4 linked regions of the Notamacropus eugenii genome follow. The protein of the gene in region 2 purifies or fractionates together with the protein of the main gene of each other region. This does not show direct contact. Links are inferred from orthologs where the notes say so. Each region holds a gene or a part of one and is shown on either strand. Other genes may lie near its edges.

Region 1 (7,956 bases), on a different chromosome or scaffold from region 2:
TTTTTCTCCCCTAAACTCCCCTTCCCTGCTACCTTCCCTATTACTGTGGAGGGCAACACCATCCTCCTAATTCCTCAGACTGGCAACTTGGGAGTCATCCTGGATTCCTCACTATTTCTCATACCCTCCTCACCAAATACAAACCTCTGCCAAGCTTGTTGATTTCACTTTGCAACATCTCTCAAATAAACCCCCTTCTTCCCTCTGACACAGGCCCTCATCACCTCCCGTCTGGATGACAGCAATAGCTGCTGCCACAAATCTCTCCCTACTCCAATCCATCCTCCAATCAGTCACCAAAGTGATTTTCCTAAGGCTCAGGGCCTGATCATATCATCTCCTTGCCCCTGCTTCGCCCAAACTCAATAAATTCCAGTGGCTCCCCATTGCCTCCAGGAGCAAATACAAAATGTTCTGTTTGGCAACTCAAATCTTCCTTATTCTAGCTCCCTTCTATCTTACCAGTGTTCTTATATTTTCCTCCCCAGTGCATACTCTTCAATCTAGTGACACCAGACTCCTGGTTGTTCCACTAACAAGACATCTCTTGGCTCTGGCTGTCCTCCATGCCTGCAATGCTCTCCCTCATCTCTGCCTACTGGGTTTTCTGTATTCCTTAAGTTCCAACTAAAATCCTGCCTTCTACAGAAAGCCTTCCCCAACTCCTCTTAATTCCAACGCCTTCCTTGTGTCAATTATTTCCTATTTATCCCATGTTTAGCTGGCTTTGCATATATTTGTTTTTACCTTGTCTTCTCCATTAGAATGTGAGCTCCTTATGCCTCTTTTTGTATTTCTAGCACTAAACATAGTGCCTGACACATAGTGGACTTTTAATATAGGTTTACTGATTGATTAAACTATCTATTTTCAGTGGGATGCCCCAGAAGTAAGAGAACAAAAACATACAGGCAGTGCTACCAACAACTAAAAATCACCCTTCCCAGTTTTCACTAAACTCTAACATGACAGAGTCCACTCTAGCCCTTTCCAGGTACTACCATTTCAATCTCTTCACAAGTTTCTCTTCTTGCTACATTTCTATCAACTACAGAGATTACAACACCTACAACCTGTCTATTGTTATTTTCCAAGGACAGCTTTAAGTCCTGAGGAATAGTAATGCACTAACTGGAGGAAACATATTTCAGAACACCAAAATTTTTTAAAAAGAGTAATCTTATTAACAATTTCGCAGACACAGAGCTTGTGTATTACAAAAACCGTCAGATCATTACAAACACATCTAGATGGTGCTATACCTGACTGTAAATGCAAATGCTTCCATCCTAAACAATTTTGGGGTATTTACGCTTGGTTTAAGAAACAGTTTCTTAAAACTCCAAACGTCTAAATGTTTTATTTAATACAGAAGCATATATTTTCCTCTACTAATATATATATTATCCTAAGAGGAAAAGAACTACCATTAAAAAGTCCTGCATCTTGTTTTCTGTGGACATCAATAACTAATAAAACCAGCAGTTAGTTCTACTATTTCTTTCAAGCTTTCTGGAGTCTCATTAGTTCTTAACATTTTCTTATTGCATGAAGCCCCTTTGGCAATCCGGACCTTTTTGTCAAAATAACGTCTTCAGATGCAAAAAATACGTATTATAAAGGAAGCTAATTCTTTTGAAATAGCCATGAAACATTTAAAAAAAAAAAGTTCACAAACCCAGATTACGAATCTCTGCTCTACAAGGAGTAAAGTTTGATACTGGTTTTTTGGGGGGAGGAGAACAAACAGCAAAAGCAGCAACAGGCACTTAAGCACCTCGTTAAACAAAGCCCACGGTGGGCAAATCACGCTTTCCTACTCCATATTCGAACTGTTTCATTTAACAAGATGGGGGGCAGTTTCTTGAGGGTTTTCCCCCAGAAAAAGAAAGGATGTACGACAGAAAACGTGGATAAACCACTGAACTCGCAGAAATGACAAAGTCCGGGTTTATTGATGAACACAAACCCAGGCAAGCTGGTGGCACAGGCATGCCCTCCTTGGAAACCCGCACATGGTGGACTCCAGTTCAATGAGCCCATTGTGCCCCCAAAAAAAGAAACTTGGGGGGGAAGGCGGCTAGGATTGGTCGGGGGCGGGGTCACCGGCCGTGGCCCCGCCCACCGAGCAGCACGAGCAGGACCCAGGCCGCCCTAACCCCGCCCCCAACCGCCACGGCCCCGCGAGCCAGCGGGTGCCCGGGTCAGGCCCCACGCTCCACGCCCCCGCCCGCCCGCAGCGCCTCCCCCGGCACGTACCCGCCTTGCAGACCGGGGAGCTGGGGCTCCTCCTCTCGGGGGAGCTGCGGCTCTGCTCCGGGGAGCGCCTCGGGTGTCGGACCCGGGCCGTAGCCGGGGACGCGGCCGCGTCGCTCGCCAGAAGATGGATGGGGGACGAGCAGGGGGACGAGACGGTACCCAGGAGCGGCTGGGAGGGCTGGGGCTGCGAACGGGGAGGGCTGCCCCGCGCGCTCGCGCCCCGCGTGGGGCTGGTGCCCCGCGTGGCCGTCGGGGGCGCGCCCGTCTGCGTGGCCACCGTGGGGCTGGCGCGAGCGCTGGGCCCGCCGGCGCCGGCGCGCGTGGGGCTCGTGCTGCGCGAGGAGGTGCGCGGGACGTTGACGCCGCCGCCGCCGCCTCCGCCCCCTGGGGGTCCCGAACTGCCGCCGCCGCCTCCGCTGTTGTTGCCCCCGCCGCCGCTCCGCGTGGGGCTGCCATGTTGCTGCTGCTGCTGCTGCTGCTTCAGCTGGAACGGCACCGTGGCCCTCATGGGCTGCAGGCGGCTCCCGGGGGCGCCGCCGGGGCCGGACGCGGCGCCCGCGCCTCCGCCGAGGGGGGCGGCCGGCGTGGGGGACCCGTTGCGCCTCACCCGCTGGGACATGACGCCCCCTTCCCGGGCCGCGCTGCGAGTGCGGGGGGCGGGAGGCTGCTCCGCGAGGCCCCGAGGCCGCGGCTGGAGGCCGGGCAGTCCCTCGCCGGTGCAGCCGCCGCTGCTCCCGCTGCTGCTGCTCCCGCGGCGGCGGCGGCTCCTCGCTCCTCATCAACAATAGTGTCTCCGGAGCTGCCCCCGCCCCCCGCGGCCGCCCATTGGCGCCGCGTCAGCCGCGCTGGGGCCCCTCGGCCGCGCCGATTGGTCGCGGGGTAGCTTGGGCCGAGGGTCCCGCGGCCTTAAAGAGACCGGGTCATCTTCTCGCAGCCTGTTGGTTCTCCGAGGCGGGGAGGGGGGGCCGGACCCGCCCCTTTTCCTCTTCCCTCCTCCCGTCGTCGCCCCGCCCCCTCAGCTTCGTAGTGCGGGAATGTGTGTATGTGTGTGAGTGTGTACGCACGCGCCCTGAGTCGCTTCCCCTGTCCAGCGTGGGGGCACCCAGGCTGGGGGTCCGATGGAGACCGGACGGGTGGGGAGAGGGCATCGGGAAGGGGCTGGAAAGAGAAGACAGATGCAGTCCGATTTGGGGCGGGGGGCCGGGCATCCGGGAGGAGGAGGAGATGGGGAGTGGGGGTGCCCACCCGCTGCCCCAGCTGCACTCACCCTTCCCGGGTGGGAGCGAGACCCACGATTGAGGCCCAGCCGTCCTCGTCCTTACACTGTGGGACGACTCCGCTCGGGGTGCGATCCCGCACCTTCAGGGGTTCCCCACCCCACCCCCTCATTCACGGTGCCGTTTTAGGAGCCGCACAAAGGGCTGAGTCGGATAAGGGGGACTCCAGGTGCCTCGGGGGGAAGAGCTTGGCCAAGGGAAGCCCTTGGAGCCCCAGCAGACCTCTCGTCTTCTCCGGGCCTCAGTTTCCCCATGTGTACAATGAGGGTGCTAGACTCGGGGCCCGCTATGGAGGGGTTTTTGCGTGTGTTTTCAGCTCTGGGTCTATGATCTTAGGAATGCCAACGTCATGAAGAAAGATCTGCCACCTCTGATGAGGGGTTGTCCCTAACGTGACATTTCCAGCTGAATGTCAGCACACCTGCCCAAAAGCCACCCCTCTCTCTAACTTCCCTAGTTCTATGGCTGGTACCGCCCTCCTTCCAGTCACCTAGGTGTTCAGTCTCAAAGCCTTCTTTCTAGCCATCTGTCAATCTCATTCTGCCTTTGCAGCATCTCTAGAATTCATCTTCTCCCCACTGCCATGGCAACCACCCTCCTTTAGGCAGTTATCATCTCACCTAGCCCATTGTAATAGCTTCTTGGTTGGTCTCTGACCTCCACCCAGCTGCCAAAGCCATGTGCCTTTAGAAGAGGCCTGATAGGGTTATTGCTTTGCTCAAGAACTCTGCTCTGGTATTTAAAGCACTTAACAACCAGTACCCAACCTACCTTTCCAGGATCAGCCAAACTGATCTTCTGCTTCTTCCTTCTCCAATCTGTTTACACATCCTGTCCTCCACTCCTGGGATGCACTCCATCTTCATTTTTATTTCTTTAGTTTCCTCATTCCCTTCAAAGCCCACTTCAAATACCCTCATGTTGCCCCTGTTCCTTTACTCATTCTGTTCTCTATGCCTCATGTCCTTCAACCCTTGGTGGAAATCCTAGTGGAGAGGATGCTAGATGTAGTCAGAAGACCTGGGATTACATTCCAGCTTGGTCACTTAGTCTCTGTGTGACTAGAGAAGTCACACCTGAAACTCTTATTAAACTTCTTAGCTCCCTTTATCTCCGTGCCAAATTACCTCACTTTGATGTATAATTTATATTACATATATACATATGGACTCTCTGATAAAATGAAATCTCTGTGAGTGAAGGGACTTTGATTTTTGTCATCTTATCTGTTGTACCTGGAACATAACAAATACTTAATATTTACTGATTGATTATGACCCCCTAGATGCTTCTGATCCTACAAGCCCACTTAGTAGAAGGTGATGTAAAATGGTGGTTAATATTTCTGAAGGCCTGGCAGGTAAAACAATACCCCAGAACTCTTCCTTCAAATTACACCTCACCTCTTCCCTTGGATTTCACAGACTCATGAAGTTACTGGTGTACCTGAAACGTCATCTAGTCCAATCTTCTAATTGTGTATGTCCAATACTAACCATCAAGTATTTATTAAAGGCTTGTTATGCAGGAGGTGAAAGCATGGTATAGCACAGAGGTGTCCAAGGTCCCAAGCAGCTCACAGAATTCATCAGTGCAGCCCCAACCAGATTAAAATATAACTGGAAAAAGTTTAACCAAATACATAAAAATATAATACAAAGTAAATAATGTTAATTTGTGACTTTCTAAGTCAGTATGCAGGGACAGAGGTCCGTTTCTATTTGATATCAGTGGATAAAGTATGGGCCTCAGAGTCAAGAATCCTAGGTTTAAATCCACCCTTTGACATATAACTGTCTTCTTGACCACAAATCCTCAGGCAGCTCTTATAGAAACTATAAGCTAAAGACCAATTGTAATAAGTATTGGTGGACAGAATTCCTACACAAGGTCCTTGTACTAATAAAACCATAGGTCCAAGCAAAAACAAAATATGAACAAGGCATTGAACAAGATTCTGGGATAGAAAAATTAAAAAAAACCCAATACCCAGCCCCAGTCCTCAAGAATCTTACATTCCTTCTGTAGAGACACAATGTGTAAACAGGTAATGATAAGTTTATATATAATGAATTGAAGATTGATATATTGTGACCCAAGAGGTAAAAATGCTTCCCCATCTTGTTAGTTCATTTTCTTCCTTCAGATATGATGATGGCATCATATCTCTTTGCAAGATTCCAGAATTAAAAGTTTTGTGGCCGTCAGTAAACTGAGCAGGCTTGGAAGATGCTTTGAAACCATTCAAAATGAGTGCACCTAATCTACCCTGGCAAATTATTCAAGTATTTTTGTGGTTAGTATGCACAGATACAATCTAAAGCCTCTTTTTCACCTAAGCTCTGTAAGGGCAGGGATTACACCTTCTCTGACAGTATCTTCCTGATTGGCTAGCATGGTGCTTTACATATCATTAACCCTTAATGGATTTAATATTTGGTGAACACAGTGCCTACTATGTGAAAAGAATGGTAATAACTGGGAGAGGGGCCAAGAGAAAAATATAAAAATAATTAGTAGATTGTCCTTATTCTCAGGGAGTTTCAATCTTGCAGGAGAAATATACATATAAATAAAAATATTCTACATACCTGGATAGAGTCTAGACCTGTGATCTCATTTAAGAATAAGAAACTACTAGATGAGGACACTTCCTCTACCAGTGCAGATTAGCTTATGTGATTATAGAGTTACTTAGGACAGTAAGAGGTCCAGTGATTGATCCAGAGTAGTAAAAACAGTACGTTGTCTGAGGCAGGATGCAAAGCCAGGGCTTTCAGGCTCCCAAGTCAGCTTTAACCATTACAACAGGCAGCTGCTTCTCTATAATAGCTATGTAATAACATTTTGCAATAATAACTATGCAGGATGTAAAGTGTAGTGTTATACAAGGTCAAATGAAGTTGAGAAGGCTTTATAAAGAAAGTAGAAATTGCAATGCACCTTGAAAGATCTCTGGATCACAAATTTAAACCTTGGAGGTAATGTAGGGAAACTGAGGCTGGGAGGGGTAAATGATTTCCCCAAGGCAAGTGGCAGGGTTCAGACCCCTACTCTGATTCAGATTTATTGGAACTTTCCACTACCCCCACAGTGCTTCCCTAAACATAATACTGTAGGTACCATTTACATAGTGCCTCAAACTTTATAGAGCACTGACATTCTTCAGATCAGCATAACAACACAATGAAGTATGCATTTTTATCTCCAATTTATAGATAATAGCCTCAAGTTAGGTGACTTGTCTAGTCACCCTAGTAAGTCACTGAGCTAGAATTTAACCCCAGGTCTTCCAGTGCCTTTTCTACTAAGATTCTGCATGGAGATGGAGGGTTCTAGGCATTGAGAATCACATGAGCCAAGAATTGGTGAGTGACATGAGTTAAGTCTGGAAAAGTAAGGAGGTGCCAGGTTGTGAAGGACTTGGACAAATGGACTAAGGAATTTTAACTTTACTTGATGGGCAGTGAAGAGCTGTATTGAAGCATTTCAGGCAAAGAAATAACAAAGATGAGATCTGATGAAGGACAGTTTAGAGGAAAGAGAGTCTAAAGGCAGGAAAAAAGGAATCTGTTAGAGAAATATGGACTGTTAATAAATGCTGAGGGTCAGCAGTGCAAGGTCCTAAAACAATTCCAAAGGACTCATGATGGAAAATACCACGCACATCCAGAGAAAGAACTATGGAGTCTGAAGGCAGAGCAAAGCAGACTATTTTCTTTTTTCTGTTGTTTTGTTTTTTCTTTCTTACGGTTCTTCCCACTTGTTCTAATTCTTCTATACAACATGACTACTGTGAAAATATGTTTAATAGGAACATATATGTAGAGCCTATATCAGATTGCATGCCCTCTTGCGGAGGGGGAGGGAAGAGAGGGGGAGAAAAGTTTAAACTTATGGAAGTGATGGGAGTGAATGTTGAAAGCTAAAAATAAATTAACTTAAAAAAATGTTGATGGTAATGGTAATAAGACTAGAAAAGAGTAGATGCATGAGAGAGGTGAAGACAGATCAAATACTCCTTACACAATTAACACTTTAAAAAGATTTGTTGTGATGACTTCAGTTGCTCCATGATCTTGTCAAAGTGGGTCCTGACCTAACAGTCCAAATCACAATGTACCTTCTCATCCTGATCTATACTCATTATCAGTATCCTCTCATTCATCTTTCTGAGGGGCTCCAGCTGAGGTGCTGGAGACCTTAATTTGGGCCAAGGGTTCTTCACCTTTTTGGGTGATGTCCTTTGGTAGTCAGGCAGATAGACCCCTTCTCAGAATTATGTTTTTAAATGAATAAAATAAAATATATAGTGTTGCTAAGTAAACCAATTATGTTGAAATAAAGATGTGTTTTTCCCCCATCCATTCAAATCCCCTGAAATCTGCAGATGGCTCAAGAGGAGAAGTGAGGCTGGTGA
Region 2 (7,947 bases):
ATGGCCGCCATGTACCCGCTGGCCCAGCTGACAGGAGCTGCCGAAGTCGACGATCTTGATGGCGCTGCGCTTGGGGTTGCACAGCAGGATGTTCTCGGGCTTGAGGTCGCAGTGGATGATGCTGAGCTCAGGCGTGGCCAAGAAGAGCAGGGCTGTGCAGAGCTGCTGCGCCAGCTTCCGGGTCAGGTTCAGTGAGACTCCCCGGAAGTGTGTGTTGCGCAGAAGGTCGTACAGATTGTAGGAGAGGAGCTCGAAGACCAGACACAGGTGGTTCCGGAACATGAAGTGTCGTTTTAAATGCACTGGAGGAGAAGGCGCAGGGACATGCGGTGGCAGCTTGGACCTCAGCCTCCAGCTCCACTCTGTGCCCACCTCCCATGGCTGGCCACCCGCCGCCTGCCTTGCTCCCAGGCCTCACCGATGTAGTACTTCATCTCCGTGTCGTGCTGGTTCATCAGCTCGAGCAGCCGCAGCTCAATCTGTGCCTGGTTCAGAAATGCCTTCTTGTTCTTAATGATCTTGATGGCCACCAGCTCCTGGGCCTGGTGGTCATAGGCCTTCACCACCTGGGAGCGACAGTGGGGATCAATGGGGATGGATGGGAATTAGCAGGTCTCTCGGCCCCAGGATGGATCCCAAGGGGAAGAGACATAGTCAGGCAATGTTCTAGCTCAGGCATCAATAGTACGACTTGAGAGGCAGCCGAGAAAACTCAGGCTTGCACATAGGTCTCGGGATGTGGGGTGCAGGAGAGGAAAGTCACCTTCTCTGGCTTTCAGAGGATGGAAGCCTACCTCTCCCTGAGGTGTCTCACTCATTCTGATTCCCACCTGCCCGAAGGAGCCCTTCCCGATGAGTGAATCGATCTCGTATCGCTCCAGCCACCGTTCCCCGCTTCGCACAATGTAGTCATGGTTGTCGTCATCATAGCCGTGATTCAGAACCTTCCTCTCTTTCTTTGTGCTCGCATCCTCTGGGGGTCCCTGCTGGGCCCGACGCTTCTTCTTGGCGTAGTACACCTGGGAACAGAGAATGTAGAGGATGGTAAGAAGAGATATTGGGAGTCACTGCCCAGCTCAGTCCCAGCTCCTGCCCAGGGTCCAGCCCACCTCATTAATGTGCTTGTAGGTCTTGATAAGGTCCACAGAGAGCTTTCGTAGTGGGGCGGAGGTGGCATCCCGAAAGGCCAGCGGGAGCCGTCGCTGTAGCAGCCTGACATCTGGCACCACCTAGGAGGGGGAAGGACATGTAAGGGGCCAGGCTTCAACCCCTGACCTCCCTTTCCAACCCTCCCACGCTCACAGTTCCATTGTCCTACAGAACCTTGTGCTCTAGGTACGACAACTGTTACCCCCATTTTACAAAAAGGAAAACTGAAGCTCTCTCAATAACTTTCTCAGGATTGCACAGCTGACCAGCCAACTATCAGTCCAGTTCTACCTCCCTGCCACACTTTGTCTTTTAACCTTTAACCTTGAACAATTTCCCCACAGACCCTTGGAGTGTCTGATGGCCAAAGTTGGGGCAGGGACTATGATACTATGGAAGGGAGCTGGATTTGGATGGAGTCTGAGGACCTGGGCCCAAATCCCAGCTCAGCTACTTCCTCCCAGTGTGACCCTGGAAAGAAGGCTTAACCTCTCTTTAGGCCTCAGCTGCCTCATCTGTAAAATGAGCAGGAGATGACCTCAAAAGTTCGGGTCAGCTCTAAGTCTGTAACCCTCAGATCCTAAACTAGGATCTCCTTTTCCTGACCCAGATCCTTCAACTGTCCATCTGCACTTTCTAGATCTTACAGCTCATGGATGATTCAACACCAGACCCTTCAATTTCACGTTTTTCCCTAAGGCCTGTCCTTTTGCCCCCTCCCCCCTGCCAGAAACTCAATCCAGGGTTCCACCTTTCACCAGGAGCTAGATTAGGTGCTACCTGTGTATGCTCCTGGGGGGCTGGAAAGCCGGAGAAAGGACCATGGCTGGGAGGGGCGGCCATGTCCGGCTCAGAGGGCCGAAGGGAAGGAAGGCCCGGAGCAGGAGCCCGGCTGGGGGGCGACTTCTCGCATCCTGCACCACAGCTGCTGCCACCAGCACCGCCGGGACCTGGAGGGAGGGAGTAGAGGAGATGGGATGTGGGGGACGGGCACCACGGAAGGGAGGGGGCAGGCCAGAGTATCACGGAGCCAGGACAGACAGACAGAGAAAAGGGCAAAGGCAGCTAATTAGGGATGGGGTGAAAGAGACCAGTAACAATGAAGGGCCAGAGCAGAGCCGGTCAGGAGCCTGTGACAGCCCTTCCCCCATGCCCCCAACAACAGAGGAGAGGCTGGAACTCTCCCAGTCTCATACCCACTCCTCCCCAGCTGATAGCCACTCTCCATGGGAGGGGGGGAGCACAAAGGGAAGGCATTTGGATATGGGGGAGTTCTCATCTGACACCAGGGAGTGCCCCGAGTTACACCCACGTGAGAAAGGGGGCTGGTGAGCCCCCACTCGGCACCCCCCCCCCCCTCTCATACCCACGCTGGGGGGCTGTCGGGAGCCATGGGCAGGTGGCCGGCGGGGTCCCCAGTCTGGCAGTCGGGCAGTCAGCATCTCGGGCAGGGAGGGTGGGAGCCCCGAGGGGACACGGAGGTGGAAGGGTGACCCGTCTGAGGGAGGGGAGGCCCCCCCAGTCCCTGCCCGGCCCTGTCCTGTCCTGTCCGCTGGGTGACAGCAGCAGCCGCTGGGAGGGGGGAGGGGGGTCAGCCGAGGTTGCCTAGAGGGGGGGCAACTGAGCAGGTGGAAGGGGGGAGAGGGGGAAGGGAGGATGGGGTTAACCCTACAGCTGCTGGGCTGGGACTGGGACAGGCCTCCCCCCCACTTCCAGCCTGGCCTATCTGCTAATCAACCCTGGGGTCGCACCGGGGGCCAGAGAAGCCTCTCCTCCGACGCCCATAGCACCCCAGCAGCCCGGCCCGGCCGGCCCGGCCCGGGCCCCCCCTCCCCTGGCTCCCCCCCGGCGGGGGAGGGGGAGGAGGTGCTGAGCTCGAGGGGCGCCCGCTCCGGCTCCCGCCCCGCCCCGCCCCGCCTCCCGCCTCCCGGGCTCGGGCTCCCGCTCCCCGCGGCGCACACGAGGCGGCTGCAACATGACCCCTGCCATGGCAACAGGCCTGCCATTGGCCCGAGGGGCTCGGCGAGTCGGCCAATGGCGGGGAGCCGGCCCGCTGTTGCCAAGCGACCGCGATGCGGCGGGTGGGGGCCCGCGCCGGCTCTTGCCCAAACAAAGAGCGGGAGAGCGAAGGAAAGGGGAGGGAGGGGGGCAGGGGGAGGGGGCCGGAGAGGCCGCGGCTCCGCCCCCGGCCCGGCTGCCCGGCCCCGCCCCGGCCCGCGCCGCGCTCCCCCGGGGCCGGCCCCTTCCAGGAACCCAGCTATAAATAGCGGCCCCGCCCCCTCCGCTCCCCTCCCCCCGGGCACCTGGTCCGGCGCCCCTCCCCCACCCCGCCGGGCCCGGGACAGCGCGCCCCCCCACCCGCTCCGCCCCACCCCGCCGCCCAGGGAGGGGCGGCCCTAACGGTCGTCCCGTGCTCCCCCCGACCCCCTCCCCGGGGCTAACGTTCGGCGCGGGGGTGGAGGGCGGCGCGCCGGAGGACGGATGGGCTAGAGCGGACGGGCACGCGCCCCCTCCCCTCCCCCAGCCCCGGCGGGCGCGCGCGCGGCCGTTACCTGTGGGCGGGGGGTGCCGGGCCGTAGGGGGAGGGGCGGAGCGGAACGCGCGGGGCAGGCGGCGGCGGCTCAGCGCCCCGGGCTCATCCCCGCGCGGGAAGGCTGGCGGTGGCGGCGCGGGCGGGCTGCTCCAGTCAGATCGGCAGCGGCCCGGGGTCCCCAATTACCCAGTAATGCAACCAGCAAAATGGCGACCACAACAAACCGGCCCCCCCGGCCCGGACTCCGCCCCCTGCCCCCTCCCATCCTCCCTCGACACGTGACTCAGGCACCGGGCCGCCACTCCGTGCGCCTGCGCCAGCTATACAAGAGACATGCGCGACATCTAAGTTGGGGCCCGCCCCGAGCGCGCAGAAGGCAGCAAGACGAAGCATGCGTCGCAGAGGTCGACGCCCGACCTCCGCGGGTAACCACAGGGCGAACAGCGGCGGCTCGCCTCAGTGCGCAGGCGCGCAGCCTGGCCGTCCTTCCACCGCCCCCCTTTAACCCTTTGAGAATCCAGGAGTCACATGGGGTCACACCTTTTAATAGAAAATACAAAGATCTGACACAAAACAGTAGAAAAAGAGGAAGGCGGGGCGGGGACGGGAGAAGCAACAGCTACTTGGCAGCTACTTCCTTCTGCTTGGGGGGAGGCCTGTGAGGAGAAAGGAGACGTCAGAGCCCAGGCAGCACCCCGATAACCCCCAAGAAACCCTGCTGTGCCCAGGGACCCCACCCCCCCCATCCCCAGAGCAATAGGACCCCTGCTGTGTCCAGGAACCACGCCCCCCCCCCCCGCCATCCCTAGAGCAACAGGACCCCTGCTGTGCCCAGGAGCACCCCCCCCCCCCAAATGGGGCCCCTGCTGGGCCCAGGCACCCCTTACCCCCAGCACAATGGGGATCCTCCCAAGGCTTACCTGTACACACCCACCACCACTGCGTGATCTCGCTCATAGGGCTCCAAGGTGAGCTGTTCCTGTGGCTTCATGTTTTCCTGCTGCATCTTCTTGACTTCTGAGGCAAACACAGCTTCAGGGGAGGCTGTGGAGTCTATGCAGTTGGCCTGGGAGAGGTGGTGGTCATGAGGACACAAACCTATGGCCAGGCCTCCTCCCCTCACTTCTGAATTTGGCCAGGGAACTTTACCTTAATGGAGATCACAAAGTGTCCACCGTTGCGCAGGAAGTTGTGTGCATTGAGAGCCACAATTCGGGACTGGTCTGGCTGGGCCACATCAGCAAAAATCACATCCACCATCCCTGGAGGCAGAGGAAGGAAGGGCACCAGCCACAGTTGGCACAGAGTCGTCAGGCTCATCCCTGTGTCCCATCTCATCTCTTAGCCCTCTACTCCCCCCTGCAGACTGCCAATCCAATCTCATGGGATGGCTCTGAACACACCAATCCCTGACTTAGCCGAAACCTTCTTCCGTTCCCCATGGTCCACAGGATAAAGGCCAAATTCAGAGGCCAGCTGCCTCCCAGAAATTAAAATCACACTCCTTTCTAATAAATAATAATAGCATTTACATAGCGCCTTAAAGTTTGCAAAAAGCTTGACAAAAATCTTTTTTTAAACAGCCGAGGAAATCAAGTCCCCTGCAGATTAAGTGATTTGCCCAGGGTTACACAGCTTATCTAAGGTGGCATTTGAATTCAGGACCTTCCAGCCCCAACTTGGTTGCCTTCTCTAGCCACAGCACAGATCATTTCCGCCCCACAGCCCTGTCTATGGAGGTAGGGATGCCCCAGGCCTTCACCAATGAGCATTCGGTATTTGTGGGGGTGTCGCGCATCCTCAATGACAGGAATGATGTTTGTCCTCTTCTTGGCCACGTTGATGAGGTCTCGGCCAGATCGATGAGAAAACTCAACAGCGTAGACCAGACCTTCCTGAGGGGCAGAGGAGAGCTCACTGTCCTCACCTGTCACATGATCAAGAACCCACCACCAAGCCCTTCCTCCTAAGACTCAGAGCACCTGCGACCTGGGGAGCAGCAGGAGCCATGCAAAAATCAGCAGGTATCATTCTGTGCCATACTTCCTGCCCTCAAACCCCTTTGTTCAGAGTTCAGTAGCAGGTGAAGAATCTCTTCAATGTACCTCACCGCTAGCTCTTTGGGTTTTGTATTTAAGCAGTTAGGAGGTGGCAGCAGGCCCTCCCTATTCTTATTCTATTTGTGAAAGTGGAGAAGGGTTCCCCCAGACTCACAGGGCCCACAATGTCAGAGACATGTGAGACAGTAGTGCCAGATGCTGCTCCCAAGTAGAGTACTTTGGCCCCAGGTCGGATATGGATCTGATCCACTCCACCTAGGATGGCTGCAGCCAGTTTTGATCGGAAGGGGTTCCAAGCACGGTATTCCAACTTCGCCTCACCATCCTGAAAGGGTGGAGGAAATCAAGAGTCAACTCTTCATACTCTGGCCCTCCACTACCTTCCCTATGTCCTATACCTTACTCCCTTTCCCAACATAACTTGGGATTCAGCGACAATGGTGGCCTTGCTGATCTGCGGGATGCTCCGTCTCCCAACTTTGGCATTTTCACTGGTGACATGCTCCCCCAGAACTGGAAGGCTCTCCCTACCTCCTCTATCTCCTACCTGCCCTGGCTTCCTTCAAACCTGAAATTCCATTTTCTACAAGAAGCCTTTCTCAATGCCCCTCTATACTGTCTCCCTCAGGGATCATCTCTAATTTATTCTGTACTGTATATGACTTGTTTCTATATGATAACTGCCATGTCACCTTTCCCACTAGACTGTTTTGTGAGCAAGGACTCAGTAAATACTTCATGACTGACTGAAATGGGAGCCTGTCCCACATCCCCTCCCACCACAAGGTCCCATCCTCACCTCCACAGTGATTCTCTTCTCACCATAGACTGACTCCCCGGGTACCATGTTCTTTGTGACCAGAGCATCTTCTTTCCCTCGACAAATAAAAACTCCTGAAAAAAAAAAAAAGAGGGGCCAATGTGACTCATGGGCACCCCCTTCTTCTCTACCAGGCATCCCCTGTCTCTGAAACGAGGAAAACTGGTAACAAAGAAAACAAAACTGCACAATGGCCGTTTTGCCACTTTCTTTGCTAAGAAAAGTGGCACTGGACATGTCCTCACTCACCCTCATGTCGATGAGGCTCCACAGTGACCTTCTTTCCTCCTTGGAAACCTCCTCTGCCACCCCGGCCTCGACCCCGGGGGGTGCCTCTGCCCCGACCCCCAGGGGACTGGAACCCTCCTGCGGGAGGCAAAGATTCCTTGCTGGCTGGACAGTCCAACATAGATCCCGGAGGAAGTGCTCCTTCCCTCCACCCCCGTGAGCCGGCGACCTCAACTCACCTCGGCCACCTCCTCGGCCACCGCGATCTCCAAAGCCGCCCCGGCCACGGCCCCCGAAGCCTCCTCGGCCCCCGAAGCCTCCTCGGCCCCCTCGGTCACCACCTCTGCCACGACCTCCGAACCCCCCCCGGCCCCCCCCTCGGGGGCTGAATCCTGCGGGCAAAAAAATAAGTTAGCCAGAAACTTCTTCGGCCGCTTGCCAGCTCACCCGGACCCCAGGTGACGAGGAAGCTCCACGTTCACGTTCATGGGAATGGGGGGAGGGGGACAGCCCCACAGCACGGGAGACCCTTTATCACGCCCCAAACTGCTGTCAGTGCATCTGGGAGATGAGACAGAGAAGCCCGCCGTCCCCTACGGAGGAACCCGGGAGGCCCAGGGAGGGGTGGGGGTGCTGAGGCTGGAGGCCCTTCCCTCCTCTCCCCGGAGCAGCTCCGAGGAAGGGCCCAGCCCCTCCCACCCCCGCGGTGACAGCCATCCCAGCCTGGCTCCAGGGGGAGGGTCCCGGCCCGATCGGGCAGGCCCACCAAACCCGGCCTCGGGCCTCGCGAAAGCTGCGGGCAGGACGCGGGAGTGCGCGGCTCGAGCTCCAATCCGGCCCCAGACCCTTCCCAGCTGCTACCCCAGGCTGCCTGCCTCAGTTTCCTCGCCGGTAAAACGGGGACCGTACCAGAGCCGCCCCTCCGCGCCGGGGGCGAGGAGGGCTGGAAAGCGAGAGAGCGGAGAAGGCGCCACGGTCCGCGGGCCTCCGGCTACCGGCGAGTCAACTGAGGCGCGCAAGCCCTGGCCCGGCCCCAGTCTGGGCCCGCCAGTCCTCCCCAGCCCGGCCCCAGTCTGGGCCCGCCAGTCCTCCCCAGCCCGGCCCCAGTCTGGGCCCGCCAGTCCTCCCCAGCCCGGCCCCAGTCTGGGCCCGCCAGT
Region 3 (7,473 bases), on a different chromosome or scaffold from region 2:
GAGGTTACGGCGAAACCCGAGCTAAACTCCGCCTTCCGGGGAAAATCGGATACATGATTGGCTCATGCTTTGGCCATTCATCCCGTCCGCCCGGACCTCGCCCTTCCCACGCCTTCCACCCGGGAGATTTAAATCTCCACCCCCCTCACCCCCTCCCTTCGCTCCCTCTCGCCCCGCCCTCACCAGCTTATTTCTTTTGAATGGTGAATTTGAAAAACCTGGTGAGTGCAGGTGAGGGTTTCTGGGCTGTTTTATTCCCCCTACCTTCCTTTTCGCCTTAGCTAATGCACCGACTCCTCACCTTAGTGCTCTGAGAGGTGATGCGATGAAATGGAGAATCTGCCTTTAGAAACTCTGGAATTGAGGAGAGAGAGGTGTGTATTGGGGTGTGCAGGTTCTCCATTCCTTCCTTGGAAAGGAGTAGGGGAACGAAGGGCTTTTCCTGCTGCTGTCCAGTTTCAACTATTGTAGCCTGACCTCTCCTTTTTGCACCTTTCCGTGCTCTAAGCACGTATGGTATCGTGAATGACTGACTACCTCTGTCCTACCAGACTGTAGTTAAAAAAAACATCCTGAAAGGAAGAGAGTGTGTCTTATCTGAGCTCGATCTCCCCCAGGACCTGCAAACAGTAGGTGCTTAATAAAAGTCCAATGTAAGTTCGTTTGCTATTTATTGAAGCTCTGAGGATTGTGGAGGGTGTTTTAGAGATGTGGACACTAATTCAATCTGGCTGTCCAGGATCCAGATGAAGGATGTGTTTCTTTGGAAAAAGCACAGCAATCACCTAGTCATTCTGATACCTTCTTTACTTATAGAACCGATAAGAACATGCTTGGGCTTGGGAATTCTTCCTCTGGAGTGAAGATGGTGAGTGTGGGAGTCAGCACAGAGAACAGCTGCAGAAGGTGCAGGTGAGTTATGGAGTCTGGCAGATGGAGTGAGATGGCCGCAGTGTAAAGAGATGTTTAAGAACATTTTATGTTTTTCATAGCTATTTATTGATAGGACATTTATTTCTCCACAGGCAGGATGTAGAAACAGATGAGATTGTTCTTCGAAGGAGACAAAAGCAGATAGACTATGGGAAACGAACAGCTGGTTACCAGTGCTTCTCACAGCAAGTCCCTAAGTAAGAGCAGAGGGTTTGGGGATGGACAACATTTATCCTTTGAAGAACTGAAAATATCTTTTACCATCAATTGTTATCAATTAATACCAAGTCACCTTGATATTCATATTAGAATGCCTTAAGAAAAATTAGGAAGCCTATCAATTAATCTTGCTATTTTCTAAACATCTTTAAGCATTCTACATGGTCTATAATACTTGTTCTGATCTTGTTAATGGCTACCTTGTCTTCCTAAACCTTCTCATCACTTGCCTTTCTGCATCTTTATAAATAGAATCTTCTATTTAAAAATATTAGGCTAAACTTTCCTGGACTTATTCTGTCTCTTCTCTTAGACTTTGAACATGAGTCAGTACACTGTTATTCGTCAGTAAGGGAAGGCATTTTAGAGGGGTTCAACTTTGCAAGTAGCATGGTATAATAGAAAGAGTGGGGAATTTTGAGTCAGAGGACCTGAGCTCAAATTCTAGCCTTATTTACTGTAACTCATGTGGTCTTGTGTACAAGTCATTTAATATGCAAGTATTTATTAAGTGTCTACTATATGTTAGGTAGAAATGAAATAGTACCTTCCGTCAAGGCCCTTATGTTCTGAAGACAACCTGTACACAAAAGTATACAAGGTAATTTTTTTTTTTAGCGGGGGGAGCTGAAGGGCATAAAAACTTCATGTAAAAGGTGGACTTTGACCTTTGCTTTGAAGGAAATTAAGGATTCTGTGAGGTAGTGGTGAGGTAGGAGTGCATTCTAGGGATGGGATATAGCTACTGCAAAGTTCCAAAGCTCAGTCTCAGTTTTATCAGCTATAAAATGAGGGATTTGGTCTAAGCAGTCTCTGAGGTGTACCTTTCAGCTTTAAATCTGTGAGCCTATGAACATTGTTCTAAAGTTAGTCTCTGATACCTGCAAACAATTAATGAACTATGTCCAACAATGCTGAAGAATTCTTTCTTCAACTAGGCTGATTCTCAGTCATGCCAATAACACAGGAGCACTAAGCCTCTTCCATCTATTTATAGGTGTCTTTGACCATAATTTAAGATGTTCATTTTATCTCTAGGGCAACACGGCAGTCAGGACTTCACCCTCAAACACCTGACAAAAGCCGAAGGTACAGCCGACGTTCCTGGGATGCCCAGATCAGGCAATGGCGACGAGCCCTACATGCTTGGGATCCTCCCAGTCAGCCTTTGCTGTTCAAAGAGAATGATATGTGTTCTTGTACCTGGCTACAGTGAGTTGTGGGATTTGAGTTCTAAACCTTCTCTTCCTTTGACAAAAGCTAGGGTATAAGAGAAAGGACAAGGGCCAAAGTTTCTTAATGGAGTCATTGTAATGATACCTGAACCCTAGACTAATCTAAACCTTTTTCTTGCTCCCAGTTCTGAGAACAGCTACCTATATAAAAAATGGGTCTGCATTGGTCCTGGTTCATTCTGCCTTTGTTTCTTCTCCTAAATAAATATACCTTTGCTAGGCAGGGAGTGGAGAATATTTCAGGGAGCATGGATTCAGGATCTTCAGATGACTTCTTGAAAGGCTGGCTCAGTGTTCTGACTCCCCTGTGGAATCTAAATCAAGACCAAATGAGAACCCAGGTAGGTTCATAGGAACAGTATCAAAAGAGTTGTCTTTCAGGGTGTGGGTATATTTCATAATGAACAAATAAATCATTTTATTTATAATAATTTATAATACATGTTGTGTATTACATATTACATATAATAATTAATAATATATGATAATTTTATATAATAATTTATAATAAATAAAATATTACTTCATAATGGCTGAATTAAGGCTGAGTTCAAAACAGGTGTATACATACTAGATAAACTGGGGTTGGGATAGTTAACTGGGAATTGGAACGAGTAGAGTTTTCTTTTTATGCAAACAAGTCAATGATATATTGATCAGAAAGCTTAAATATGGAAATTAAACAAGTGTGGTGGGAGAAAGCAAGTATCTCAGAGCCCTAATTTTAGCCTCTGCCCCATAAAGTTACATTATCTACAAGCGTACTACCTTAAACTTTAGGAAGAATTGTCTGTTTAATACTTCACAGTCTGATCCTTACCAGGGTTTTACTTTCTGTTGTAAAATGTTTGCGGTTATTCTCTAGGAGTGGGGAAAAGGGGCATAATGAAGATCCTAATGAGTACTATTCCCTCCAAGCTAAGCTACCTCTGAGAAAAACAGGGAGGATAGATAGCTATTGTCTACCTACCTCTTGAAAATGGGCCCTTTCCCCTCTCTCTTTTCAGTTTGACATCTTGGCTCTTATCACCTCACTTCCCTGTCTCCAGCTGGAAGCTCCCTGTCACTGGCTATACTGCTTGGGAGATGGAAGCCACCTACCACTTTCAGTGTTGGGGCATGTGGAGTGTGCTGAGAAGACAAGGCCTTTAGGAAATTGGGCAGGGAGGCTGCCCAGCTTTCTGGGGCAAGACCCTCATTGACCCTTGATGAAGAAAATGCCCCCTATTTAGCTTAGTGTCCTGCCTTACTCTTTTTTTTCTTCTTTCCTGTTCCTTCCCTGTTTTACAAACTTGCCAGCCTGCAATAAGAAAGCCCTTCTCCACTGGCTCAAATTTGGGTTAAAATCACTTCTCTACCCCTTTGCCTCTCTGATGGCATGACTGTGGATTCATTTATTTCCCTTGGCATTCATTCTCAAGTCTCTGTCCCTGTTTTCCTCTATTTTAGCCTCTTTCATCTAGGTCTTTCTTGGGGGGGATGAGTTTTACTCGTAACTTGTGCAGTTACTTCAGACTGAAATCCTGTGGCTTTGGTGAAAGAATAGCCCTTTCCTCTCACTGACCACTCCTGCTTTATGGACAAAGAAGGTCTTTGCGAGGGTCTGACCACTTCTACACAAAGAATGAAAAGCGGGGTTTGATAGAGGAGTCCTGAGGGCGCTTCCTCTAGAATACATTGGGGGTGGGGGAGGGAGGAGGAAAAGAGCTGAGCTTATTATGATGTCATAATCACAATCCAATTACCTCATCCTGCTGTGACTGGAAGGGCGGGGGATGGGGGGCGTTGATGGAAGAAGAGAAGGGGCCCAGGCCCACTGAGTGTAGTAATGGACGTGCAGGCGCGACTTCGGGAGAAAGAAGAAAGGGCTGGGGATGGGGCTAAGGTCCTGGGATCCAGATCGGGAATTCGCCCCCCCTGCCCCTCAGCCTTTCCTGCTGCCCGTTGTTCTGGAACCCTATTCAAGCAGGCCCCAAGTCTGGCCAGCATTGGACTACACCTCCCATCTGCCCCTGGGTCGCAGACGAGTCCTCAGTGGCAGGGAAGAGGGGTTTTTTTCAAAGCAGTGGCAGTATAGGGAGAAATAGAAAAACGAACACCGGGGTGCGAGGCTTGTTCTGCTAGAGGTCAAGGTCAGAGAAGGCGTCTTAGTCAGACTGGAGCAGGAACTGTAGAGAGAGGGCCTGAGTTTGTTTACCTCTGTCTATTCTCCCCACTGGCCCGAAGTTAGTTCAGCCTAGAGCCGGTCCCTTCCACCTTCCGCAATTCGGTAGGGGAACCTAGTGGGGAGCAAGACCCCTTTGAGGCGAGGTACATCGAGAGGAGCAAGTGTTGCACCTTTTCCATCACGGACGCTACTGATTACCAGCAGTTTTTGGGGGAGGGAGAGGAAACCCCAGGAATTCTGGCCCTCGCACGGGGCTTCGGGGCAAGTCCTGGGAGTGGGGAAGCTACCCCCCCCTCTCTGGCAGGGGGACGATTGGTTCGCTCCGGCGTTATTTAAGGGCGCCGTGGGGCAAGTGGCGAGCTCAGAGCTGCTCCGGCTGCGGCCCTGGGAAGGGGACCGAGCTGCGGTACGTAGCGGGCGGGCGGGCCCTGGGGGCAGGTGGCGCTGGGCCCTGGGGCGGAGACCTCAGCTGCCCCTCCCTTCCTCCTTCCTTTCCCAGCTAGTCCCTCCTCACGGCCTGGCTTTGCAGGCCGCCCCGTTGCGGGGAGCCCAGGACTGGTGGGGGAGGGGGCCGCTAGAGCACCGTGTCCCCAGACATCTTCCCCCCCCCCCCCCCCCAAACTCCTTTACGGGCCCGGGTCCTGGGCCAGAAGGCTGGCGTTAGGGGGCGGGTAGCGGCTCCTCTGACGTCATCCGCCCCCACCCCCACAGGGTCATAGGTCACCTCTTGCCCCTCCCGTGGTTAAGGTAGCGGCAACCCAGGGATGGAGGGGGTAGTGTGTAGTCTTAATTGTGGGTGGAGAAGGGGTGGGCAGCATCCATCACACCCACCCACCCCAGGCACCACCAGGGCCTTGGAGAAAGGAACCCCTCCCCCGCCGTTGTTTTTATTCATACTCTAACCCCAAGCTGGGGGTGGGGGTGGGGGCGTTGTGATGGAGGGAGAAGGCCTGGAGTCCCCAGAAAATCTCCCGCCAGCCTGTCCCATTGAACTAAGTAGATCTACCCCCAAGGGAGACTTCTGCTCTTCAGCTCTGACTCTGTTTCTGAGACCCAAGTATCAGTGATCACTTAGATCTTTGGGGAGTGGGGAAATGTCAGTGCCCCATTGGGGAAGAGGGTTGGGTCTTCTGGGTACCTAAGAGGCCAAGCCAGATGCCTCCTCCCAAAAGGGCTTCGATCCTTGGCGGTTATTAGGCTGAGAAGTTTTAACTTGTTTAGTGTGGGTTCAGGACTTTCTTTATTCTGCAGTTAGAAGATAAGGTAATGAAGGAGCCAAGACTAAGCCTTCTAATGCTTTAGGTTTGGCCCTCTCCAAGCTAGGTTGCCTTTTTTATATCTTGGTTCAATTGTTTCAGGTTCCCTCCCCCCCCCCCCCACTCTGTTTTAAGAAACGTAGAGCCCAAAATGTCAGTTAATGTGATAGGTAGTAGTTGGCTTGTTGCAATGACTTGTGTATGACCACATCCCAGCAATTAAAATGCAGAAAATATGAAATTATCCTCTTCATCCTCTTGATTCTAGAGAGAAAAAAAACTAGGAGTTTCCTATGGCCCAAATCTTGAGAGCCTGAAAATGAGTTTACCTCACCCTCCAAAGGCTGTCCCTAGTATCTGAATGCAACTAGGTACCCTTTTCCATTGATGGATCTCCAAAAAGGCAGCTTTAAGAAACCAAGAGCATTTAGTATAACGTAGCTTGAGTTTTATCTTCTGTAACAAGGGCCTATATAGGGGAAGCAGCTGAGGAGAAATCTCAGTGTATAGGATTTCTGTAATGCTTTTTATTTTTTATTCTTTTTGAAGAGCATAGAGAACTTTCCCAGTGTCTCAGGAAACTTATCTTTCCATGAGATGGGTATGGATTAAGGAATATTCTCCCCATTTTACAGAAGGGAAAAAGTCGCATACAAAGCAGAACTTGTCATATACAAACAGTGCCCTTTTAGACTTATGTGAGTACACAGGCACAAGTGAATGAATGAGTGAATGGTGTCCAGCCAGAAAGGTAGAACAGATTGCCTTCTGCATCCTAATGATGTCATCACTCCCAGCATCCCTAGGCTTTGTGGTGCATTGAACAGGAAGAGTGAGAGATGATACCCTGCTGGACTCCTCTGAAATGATTCCTTGGATTTATGGAGTGTGTTGTTTCACAGAGCTCAAATTGCTTTTATCTCTTAATTACCGGTATACTATTATTTCTCCCTCATTTTAATTATGAAGAAACTGAGACCCAGAGAAACTGATGTTATTTGCCCAAGATTTGTACAGCATATAGCCAGTAAGGTTGGAATTGGTATTAAAACCTCGGTAGCCCTTAACTTCTTCCATTAAAGTAAGTTATGTACTCCAAAGGATTATATTGCCCTCTAGGTCATTCCTAAAATTGGATAAACAGAAGCCATTGACAGAGTAAGTTAACATCTTTTCAGTCCACTAGAAGTCCCACAGCTGATGTGGGTTTGGAGCCTGCTGTTAAATACATGTTCCTTCAGACTCGTATCAGGAAGTTGCTTCACTATCAGTATATATAGGATAGCCTTGGAGCCAGAGCAACCCTGAAATTTGGTAGAATGAGGTCATATAGAGCTGTAGGATTGGAATTGTTTTGCTCACCAGTTTTTTAGGTTTTCATTCAAAATTTTTAGGAGGCATTTCTCAAACATGATCATTCTATCAAAGAAAACAATAACTTAGTAATTCAGATTTAATGCAGGGCAAAATTCTGTTCCGCAAGAACCACACATTTTATCCTACTTCTCTGTGGTTTAGGCACATTAGAAAAGAACACTTCTCTCGTCAAGAACTACAGGTGAAGTTTCTTGGCCACTGGTTTCATTGTCCTTGAAAGAAAACATTCAAACTTACTATCTGACTGAGCAAAATTGAACTTTGGACATAGTGTGACTGACCCCTC
Region 4 (7,418 bases), on a different chromosome or scaffold from region 2:
GGAAAAAAAGCAATAGAATTATAGATTTAGAGCTGGAGAGTACCTTAACGGCCATCTAGTACAGCCCTTTCATTTTTCAAGAGGAAAAACTGAGATCCAGAGACATTAACCAATTTGCCTAAGATCACATGGGTATGACTGAGATGCATGAATACAGATAAGGATACCTATCTTCTGATTCCAAATTAAGTGTTCTTACCCCTGGACTGTTCAAACTGCAAAGAGCTGGAAGAAAGCTAATAGAGATCTAGGCTGGCTCCAATTCAGATTAAAAAAAAAAAAAGGAAGTGGTAGAATTGGGACTTGAAACAAGGTCTCCTGAATTCAGGGTTCTTTCTACCACACCAACCTACCTTTCCTGCTAGGGTGGGAATCTGGTTAGTCCCCATCAAGAACATAATGATCTGGGGCAAGCACAAAATTTCTCTGGGTCCTCATTTCCATGGGTGAAAGATGATGCTATTAACTGCTTTCCCTAAATGATACTGTATTGTGACCTCTGAGCACCTTACAGAAATAGACAAATAAGACTTATTTTGATTAAAATATTTAAAGCCAAATGGCTGGGCAACCACTACCACTTATTTTGAGTAGGACCTCCCCCCCCCATTGCCCTTTTCCTTCTTTTTGTTTTTCATTATAAGGCAAATGAAGCCTTATCAATGTTATTCCTCCTAAGAGTAGATGATCCATAAAATGTCTCTTCCAATTCAACTGAATCATAATATTCATTTTATAAATTCACATCCCTGAAGAAGTCACAAAATCAAAAACATAAATTTTTTTCTTCAAAAACTAGAAAACTTGAAGCCATTAGTTTTGTAAAATACACTCATTTCAAGGTATGCCTCCTGGAATATTGATTACTATCTTGATTTTTATCCAAGTTTCATCTATTTACAGGTTCTTTCTTCTCTCCTCCACTGCATAGGTGACTAAAAACTAGTTTCAAAAACTTTTTGAACATGCAGCTAAGTCAAACGGTAATTAACTGAGTATTTGTTTCTAGACTATCTGGTTACTAAAACTTTATCTGCAAATTTCCTCAACTCACGTTAAACCCTTGGCTCTCAAAATGGATACAACTCTATGCTAGATGAACTAGAGATTTTGAACAGCAATGACAAGAATTTATTGTTATTTCCTAAAAACCTGTGTTTTTAACTGTAACTGTTGCATAATCAAAATTCCTATTATTCTACGAATTAAAGATACAATTGAATTAAGACGGGTACTTTAAAATGTGAGGTTACAAAAGCGGGAAAAGTTTCATACATGCAGTTAAATTTTCTAGCCATAAACAATTCCACACTCTGAAAGCACCCCTTTTGTGATAATTCAAGCTCCCTTCACAATGTTTTCAATCAACTGGATGCTATGTCTTATTTATGTTAGTCTCCCGGACCATTTTTCTGCTACACCCTGCATGTCATTAAAATTATTAAAATTAAAATGCATGTCATTTTAATAAGTGTTGGATGCCTTTGAGGAATTAGTTTAATTTTTAAAGAAATTTAAATCTGAAATCCACAACTACTACTCAATTACTAAATTTTAGTCTAAGTTAGTATTAAACTTAATTATATCACAAAGTGAACAATCCACAAAGTGGAGAAGCAGAGAAAAATGCTAGACTTTGCATGTAGAAGATTCCAGAGGTGAAGCCTTTTCCCTTTGTTCTACTCAAACTTCTACTTCCAGCATGGGCATCTGTGACCCATCCCCTACACACCTTTGAGAAATTACCCCCTGAAGACTTAAGATCTACACATCTCACGGAGATTTAAGGAAGGAACACCTACCTTGCCTACAATTTTAAGGTAGTATATTATCTCTGTAAAACTCCACAATAGTCCTTTGGGTCAAACACGTGTAAAATACCTGTTAGGCAGTTAACTCTCCTCCCTGTCAGGAAACTGTCTGGTGCAGACTGCCCCTACTCTCCCTTCGGGATCTCAGTCACGCTGAAGCATGGGGGGGCCAAAAGTAAGTACCCAAGCCCCCCTGGGGGGCAACACCATGTCAGGGTGACACAGGTAACCGGACTAGGTCAAGATGCCACGGGCCCGCCGTGGGGAGGCCTGCACGTGGCCAGCACTACCTGCTCCGGTCCGCAGGCCACATGGGGCCCCCAACTCGTGGTCACCCCCCTCTCCGGGGGCCTCCTGCCCCCAATGCACATGGCCTGCTGCCACGACGGGGCATCCCGGGGGAGCCGGCGGAGGAAAGGCCTCCCCTCCGAGGCACGTTCAGGCAGGAACGGGGTCACTGGAGATGGAGGCCTCGGGGGTGAGCCCGGGGGAACTTCCCGGAGCGAGGGCCCGCAGGATGGGGGAAGGGAACGGATCATTTTGGGAATGGGGCCCCACGGCTTCCCGCGAGGACCCTGAAGGGGGATGTCACGGGAGATTCCTTCCCCCCCGCGGGGGTAGCACCCCCCCCACGCCGCTTGGGCCCCGCAGGGCTGTGGGGAGGGTCGGTTTCCCGCTCCGTCCACGAGCCGCGGCCTCCGCCTCCCGTCCTCTTTTCAGGCTGGCCTCCCCTCAGCGGGCTATCACACTCACATTGTGTACAGGGTAGGGGGGGCGGGCGAACGGGTGGGTTGGGTCTCTCAGGCGGCAAGGACGGCTCCGACTCCCCGCGGGCGGGCGGCTCCGGCTCGGGTGCCTCCTCCTCCTCCGGTCGCGGCCTCTCTTCTGCCTCGCTCTTTCCCCTCCGGCAGCGGCGGCGGAGGCGACGGCGGCGGGCTTGGCCTGGATCCCACAATGCACCGCGCGGCAGACCAGAGAGGTTCGGGGAGAGGAGGAGGAGGAAAGAGTAAGAAGAGGGCGCGAGGAGAGAGAATGAACGTGTGCGTACGAGGGGCGGTAAGGCCAAGCGAGGCAAGGTGGCGGCGGCGGCGGAGGCAGCGACAGAGGAGGAGGCAGTGGCGGCGGCGGCGGCGGCGGCGGCTAGTGACGCAGCAAAATGCCCGGGCCCCTTCGCGCGTGCGCGTTCCTGTGCTTTCGGGCGCGAGCCCGGCTTTCTAGAGATCTCTATGAGAAGGGCGGAGTCTCCCCGTCACTCTCTTTGACCCCGCCCGCTCTGCCCCCCCTCAGTCGCTGTCCCTTCCCGCCTCTCCTCCCGCCCCCCCCTGCAGCCTCTCGTTGGAAAACCGTTGGTGACCCAACCGCCTGGGCTCGCGCTTTCGCGTGGTCTCCCGGGGAAACCTCCCGAGAAACTAGTCGTCTGGCCAAGGCTAGCCGAGAGGCGGCCGGCCCTCAGCCTGCGGGCGGAGATGGTGGCATTTCTGCCCACCCCCGCCCCAGGTTCCCCTCCCCCACCACGGCCCAGCCCGAGGCTGAGAAAAAACTCGGCCGCAGGAGACATGTTTGAGTCGTACCCCTTCCCCCGGCCTGGGCCGACGCTATCCTCGCTCTGAAGGGAGGACAGGCCCCTGGCTGGGGGGAGAGGGGGAGGGGGAGGTGAAAGGCCTTGTCTGGGGGGAGGGGGGAGGGGGGAGGGGAGGTGAAAGGCCTTGTCTGGGGGGAGGGGCGAGACCCCGCGGAATACTGTGGAGTGCGGTAGAATGTAAGCCCCTTAAGGGCAGGCACCATCCCGCCCCTTTGTAGATGGCTCCCGAATTGAATTGAGAGCAAATGGACCCCGGGATTCCTCGGAGACCACATGGCCGCTGACTTTGATAATGTCCGGCCATTGCTTTCACTCCTGGGGGAATACTTGTTCAGAATCTGCCCAAAGCCAGCTCAGGGCTTGGAGGATGGTGGCTGAAATGGCATTCCCGTGAAGAGGCGGTTCTCCAGGGATGACGCTGGTGATCATTTGGGAAAAAAGTTCCAAATCACTAATTAAAATCATTGAAGGGACGTCATCTCACGCCCGTCAGATGGCAAAGAAGAGGAAAGAGGAAAATAGCAGTTGTTGGAAAGGCCATGGGAGAATAGGTACATTCCTTCGCCTCTAGCAGAGTTTTGAATTTTCTCAGTGTTTCTGGAAAAAATGGATAACTTTTTCCCTTAAATTACCAAGCTGTGTATGCCTGTGACCCAGAAATACCGTTAGATTCTTAGACCCTGTGGAAATCAAACCCAAAAAAGAAAGAACCCAGGTGCTCAAGAATACCTAGCAAATAACTGGGAACAAAGCAGGTAAATAAATGTGTGACCATGTTACGTGCGTTCATGTCCTTGAATATGACTTCTCCTTGAGAAATTAGGAATATGATCAATTCAGGGAGCCCCTGAAGACGTATTGATGGATGCAGAGGGAAATGAGGAAAGCCAGGAGAACAGTTTAAGATGACAGTCATTTGAAAGACAAAATTCTAATAAAAGCAGTGACCAGTGATGCCTTCAAAAAACTGATGATGAAACATACCTTCCAGTCGTACCTGGGCAGAGAGGTAAGGAACAGGAGATGCAGAAGGAATTATAACATCTCAGATATGGCCAGTGTGGATTCGTAAAAAAAAGCATTTTTATTGTCACAGCCAACTCTTCGTGACCCCTTTTGGGGGTTTCTTGGCCAGAGATACTGGAGTGGTTTGCCATGTTCTTCTCCAGCTTGTTGCACAGATGAGGAAACTGAAGTAAACAGGGTTAAATGACTTGCCCGAGGTCTCACAGTTAGTAAGTATCTGAGGCCAGATTTGAACTCGGGAAAATGAATCTTCCTGACTCCAGACTTGGCACTCTATCCACTATCTAGCACAGGTAACTTCTTTTTAGTGTTTTGTTTTTTTTTTTTGAAATGTGTATTTAACCCCATTTTCACCCAAGCCTGGGGTGATTTTCCTGAGGGCAGCCCTCTTGGTGTTGCACAGCCTATGTGTAATAAGGTGTAACCCCTAATTGTCTGAGAGACCTCTGAGCTGGAGACACTGAATGTAACATATTAGCTTCAGCTTGTTGGAGCATTTCAGGAGAGAGGTGTGTATTCGTCCTTCCTTGTCAAAGAAGACCATGGCATCAGAGAAATGATGACTTGCACTTGATTTTGTTTTGAGGGAGGGAGGGCTGTGCAGGTCACCAACCTCACTTCTCCTCCAGAGCCATCTGAATCCAGTGACCAGATATTCATCAGGATGACTGGAGATGACCCAGGATGAGACAAATTGGGGTTAAGTGACTTGCCCAAGGTCACACAGCTAGTGAGTGTCAAGTGTCTGAGGTGACATTTGAACTCAGCTCCTCCTGACTACTGCACTGGTGCTCTATCCACTGTACCACCTAGCTGCCCTCCAGAGAGGCAAAGACTCAGGGATGGCTGACTTTTAAATGGTGGACTGGTGATTTATTCAGAGCTACAAACTAGGGGAAGCTGACCCCCATCATATCCCTGACTTCCAATGCTTGCAATCCTAGAGATTGCTAAGAGTAGATTCTTGGGCTGAAGTTTTTATCTTGCTCTCAAGACCGATCCTAATTTGTATAACTTCTCAGGTTTCTATTTACTGGATGATTTTGATGAAGTACTTGCTAGTCTTGATGGCCTTTTATATAATTTATATAATTAGTATTTGAGGAGGAATCTAAATTGGTGTTAGTCAAGGTGTCCCTTTCCCTTGAGATCAATCAGGGAAAATATCTTGTATGCCAAACACCTTCAACTCAAATGCCTAGACTACTCATATTTGATGCATCTAATTCTAGACCTATATCTGGAAATATGAGATTGGCAAAGAGATCATCCTGCCATAAATATCCTACAACCCCTTTTTTGCTAGACTGGTGGTAAAGGCAAAGCCTTTCTCCTACTCTTTAAAAGGAAGAAATTTCAGCCTCCCTCAGTGATAGAGTGGACCAGATTCCATATCAGAGAACCCTCTATGTCAAATGGGCCAGCATATCATTATATTATACAGCTTACCCACACATATTTTACACACAGACAAAAACATAGTACAGAAGGAGGTACAGGAAATACAAACAAAGCAATTTTGTTGATGGCCTTATACTTATTATATAAAATAGGGACAGAAATTAGATCAGTTATTTCATTGAAAGAGGGAACTCCCAGATGAGGAAACTCCTGCCAATGCAGGGAGACACCTACCTCAGCAACTTAATAGTCTTAACAGTGTTGCTTACAACACTGAGGGGTTAAATGACTTGTCCAGGACCAGCAACTATATAAATAAATTCACAATTTAACAATCCTCTTTGTTGTTTGTATATTAAATTGTTTGTTGATGATTAAATTCATGGGAGAAAAAATTGTGTCATTTCCTCCACTTCCCCCATGGATTATTAACCCACTGGATGCATTGAACCTTTATTGTAGCATTTTTCTTATCACAAATTGAATAACTATTTGTCTTGAAGAGCAAAATTTCCTGACATTTAAAATAGGTATATTGACTTTCTTTTTAATGTTAAAAATTATTCCTTGTTGCATTTCCTGCTTGTTGAGCTCAAATCAAATGTCACCTGTACGGCTCTTAATCTGTAAAATCTAGTTTGGGTGAGATACAAAGATAATAAACAATTTCCCTGCCTAAAAGAAGTTTACAGTGTAGAAGGAGAGATGACTAGTACAAGAGGTTTTGCTATTTAATAGTTGTGTGATATTGGACAAGTCATTTTACCCCCTCTAAGCCGACTTCTTGTCACCTGTAAGATGAGGATGTAAGACTAGAAAATCTTTTGATCATGGGCCCTGTTATTTCTGTATCCCAGTGATCCAATACCTATTACACAGTTTAATGGGATATATGTACAGGATATAAATATTTAGTGACTACTTAGTATAAAGCATTGTGCCAGCTACTGGATGAGATATAAAATTTATCTAAGACAGAGTCTCTCCTCTCATGGAGCTAATAGTCTAGTTCAGGGGTGGGGAATCTGTGAAACTTGGACTCAGTCAAAGGGCTGTACTCAAGGACCTAGAGGACCACATGTGGCCGTGGGGCTACAGGTTCGTCACCCCTGGTCTAGTTGAATGTATGGGACATATTCTCAAATATCTATGGTACAGTTTCAACAAATATACATGATAGGAAGGAATTCCTAGTGGTCAAAATAGCATGAGCAGATGCATGGAGGGCAGGATATATTTATGGAACAGTAAATTGTTCAATTGATTCAAGTTAGTGGGATTCAAGTAATGGCCTGGAAAGGAATTAGCCCAAGAGGATTTTGAGTTAGGATTAGCTCTGGAGATCATCTACTCCCACCCCATCATTTTACAGATAAAGATCATGTAAAACATTGAAACTTACATGTAAAGGGCCTTTCCATAACTTATGACTAATGGAAGAAATTCCTAACCAAACAAGGGATATACCAATTAGGAAATGGCTCAATAAATTATGGTATATGAATGTAATGGGATATTATTGTGTTGTAAGAAATGATGAAAGGAATGGATTCAGAAAATAAAGCCTTATAAAAATAACTTGTATGAATGGATTCAGA

The links.
Region 1: the proteins of DYRK1B (region 2) and FAM117B purify together in Homo sapiens (affinity purification with mass spectrometry; 3 studies listed by BioGRID and IntAct, counting the BioPlex papers as one, with this or other methods). This does not show direct contact. The link is inferred for Notamacropus eugenii from reciprocal best matches to the Homo sapiens genes DYRK1B and FAM117B.
Region 3: the proteins of DYRK1B (region 2) and FAM53C purify together in Homo sapiens (affinity purification with mass spectrometry; 3 studies listed by BioGRID and IntAct, counting the BioPlex papers as one, with this or other methods). This does not show direct contact. The link is inferred for Notamacropus eugenii from reciprocal best matches to the Homo sapiens genes DYRK1B and FAM53C.
Region 4: the proteins of DYRK1B (region 2) and PTGES3 purify together in Homo sapiens (affinity purification with mass spectrometry; 3 studies listed by BioGRID and IntAct, with this or other methods). This does not show direct contact. The link is inferred for Notamacropus eugenii from reciprocal best matches to the Homo sapiens genes DYRK1B and PTGES3.

The regions. Positions count from the first base shown.
Region 1 is NC_092877.1:298,976,706-298,984,661, reverse strand, and holds the start of FAM117B (protein FAM117B), read right to left. Parts: upstream 3,012-7,956; 5' UTR 2,879-3,011; coding exon 2,260-2,878; intron 1-2,259.
Region 2 is NC_092876.1:32,311,129-32,319,075, forward strand, and holds the start of DYRK1B (dual specificity tyrosine-phosphorylation-regulated kinase 1B), read right to left. Parts: upstream 3,006-7,947; 5' UTR 2,935-3,005; coding exon of another isoform or gene 2,901-2,934; 5' UTR 2,592-2,900; coding exon 2,516-2,591; intron 2,100-2,515; coding exon 1,930-2,099; intron 1,230-1,929; coding exon 1,110-1,229; intron 1,020-1,109; coding exon 831-1,019; intron 567-830; coding exon 419-566; intron 303-418; coding exon 16-302; intron 1-15. Other genes in the region: FBL (rRNA 2'-O-methyltransferase fibrillarin), read right to left, coding at 4,302-4,338, 4,603-4,748, 4,832-4,944, 5,445-5,577, 5,897-6,067, 6,542-6,636, 6,812-6,928, 7,030-7,182.
Region 3 is NC_092872.1:365,475,207-365,482,679, forward strand, and holds the start of FAM53C (protein FAM53C), read left to right. Parts: upstream 1-4,457; 5' UTR 4,458-4,960; intron 4,961-7,473. Other genes in the region: oocyte-specific histone RNA stem-loop-binding protein 2-like, read left to right, coding at 331-374, 817-912, 1,026-1,130, 2,191-2,364, 2,608-2,728, 3,395-3,589.
Region 4 is NC_092874.1:231,926,749-231,934,166, forward strand, and holds the start of PTGES3 (prostaglandin E synthase 3), read right to left. Parts: upstream 3,008-7,418; 5' UTR 2,567-3,007; coding exon 2,565-2,566; intron 1-2,564. UniProt on the Homo sapiens protein: Cytosolic prostaglandin synthase that catalyzes the oxidoreduction of prostaglandin endoperoxide H2 (PGH2) to prostaglandin E2 (PGE2).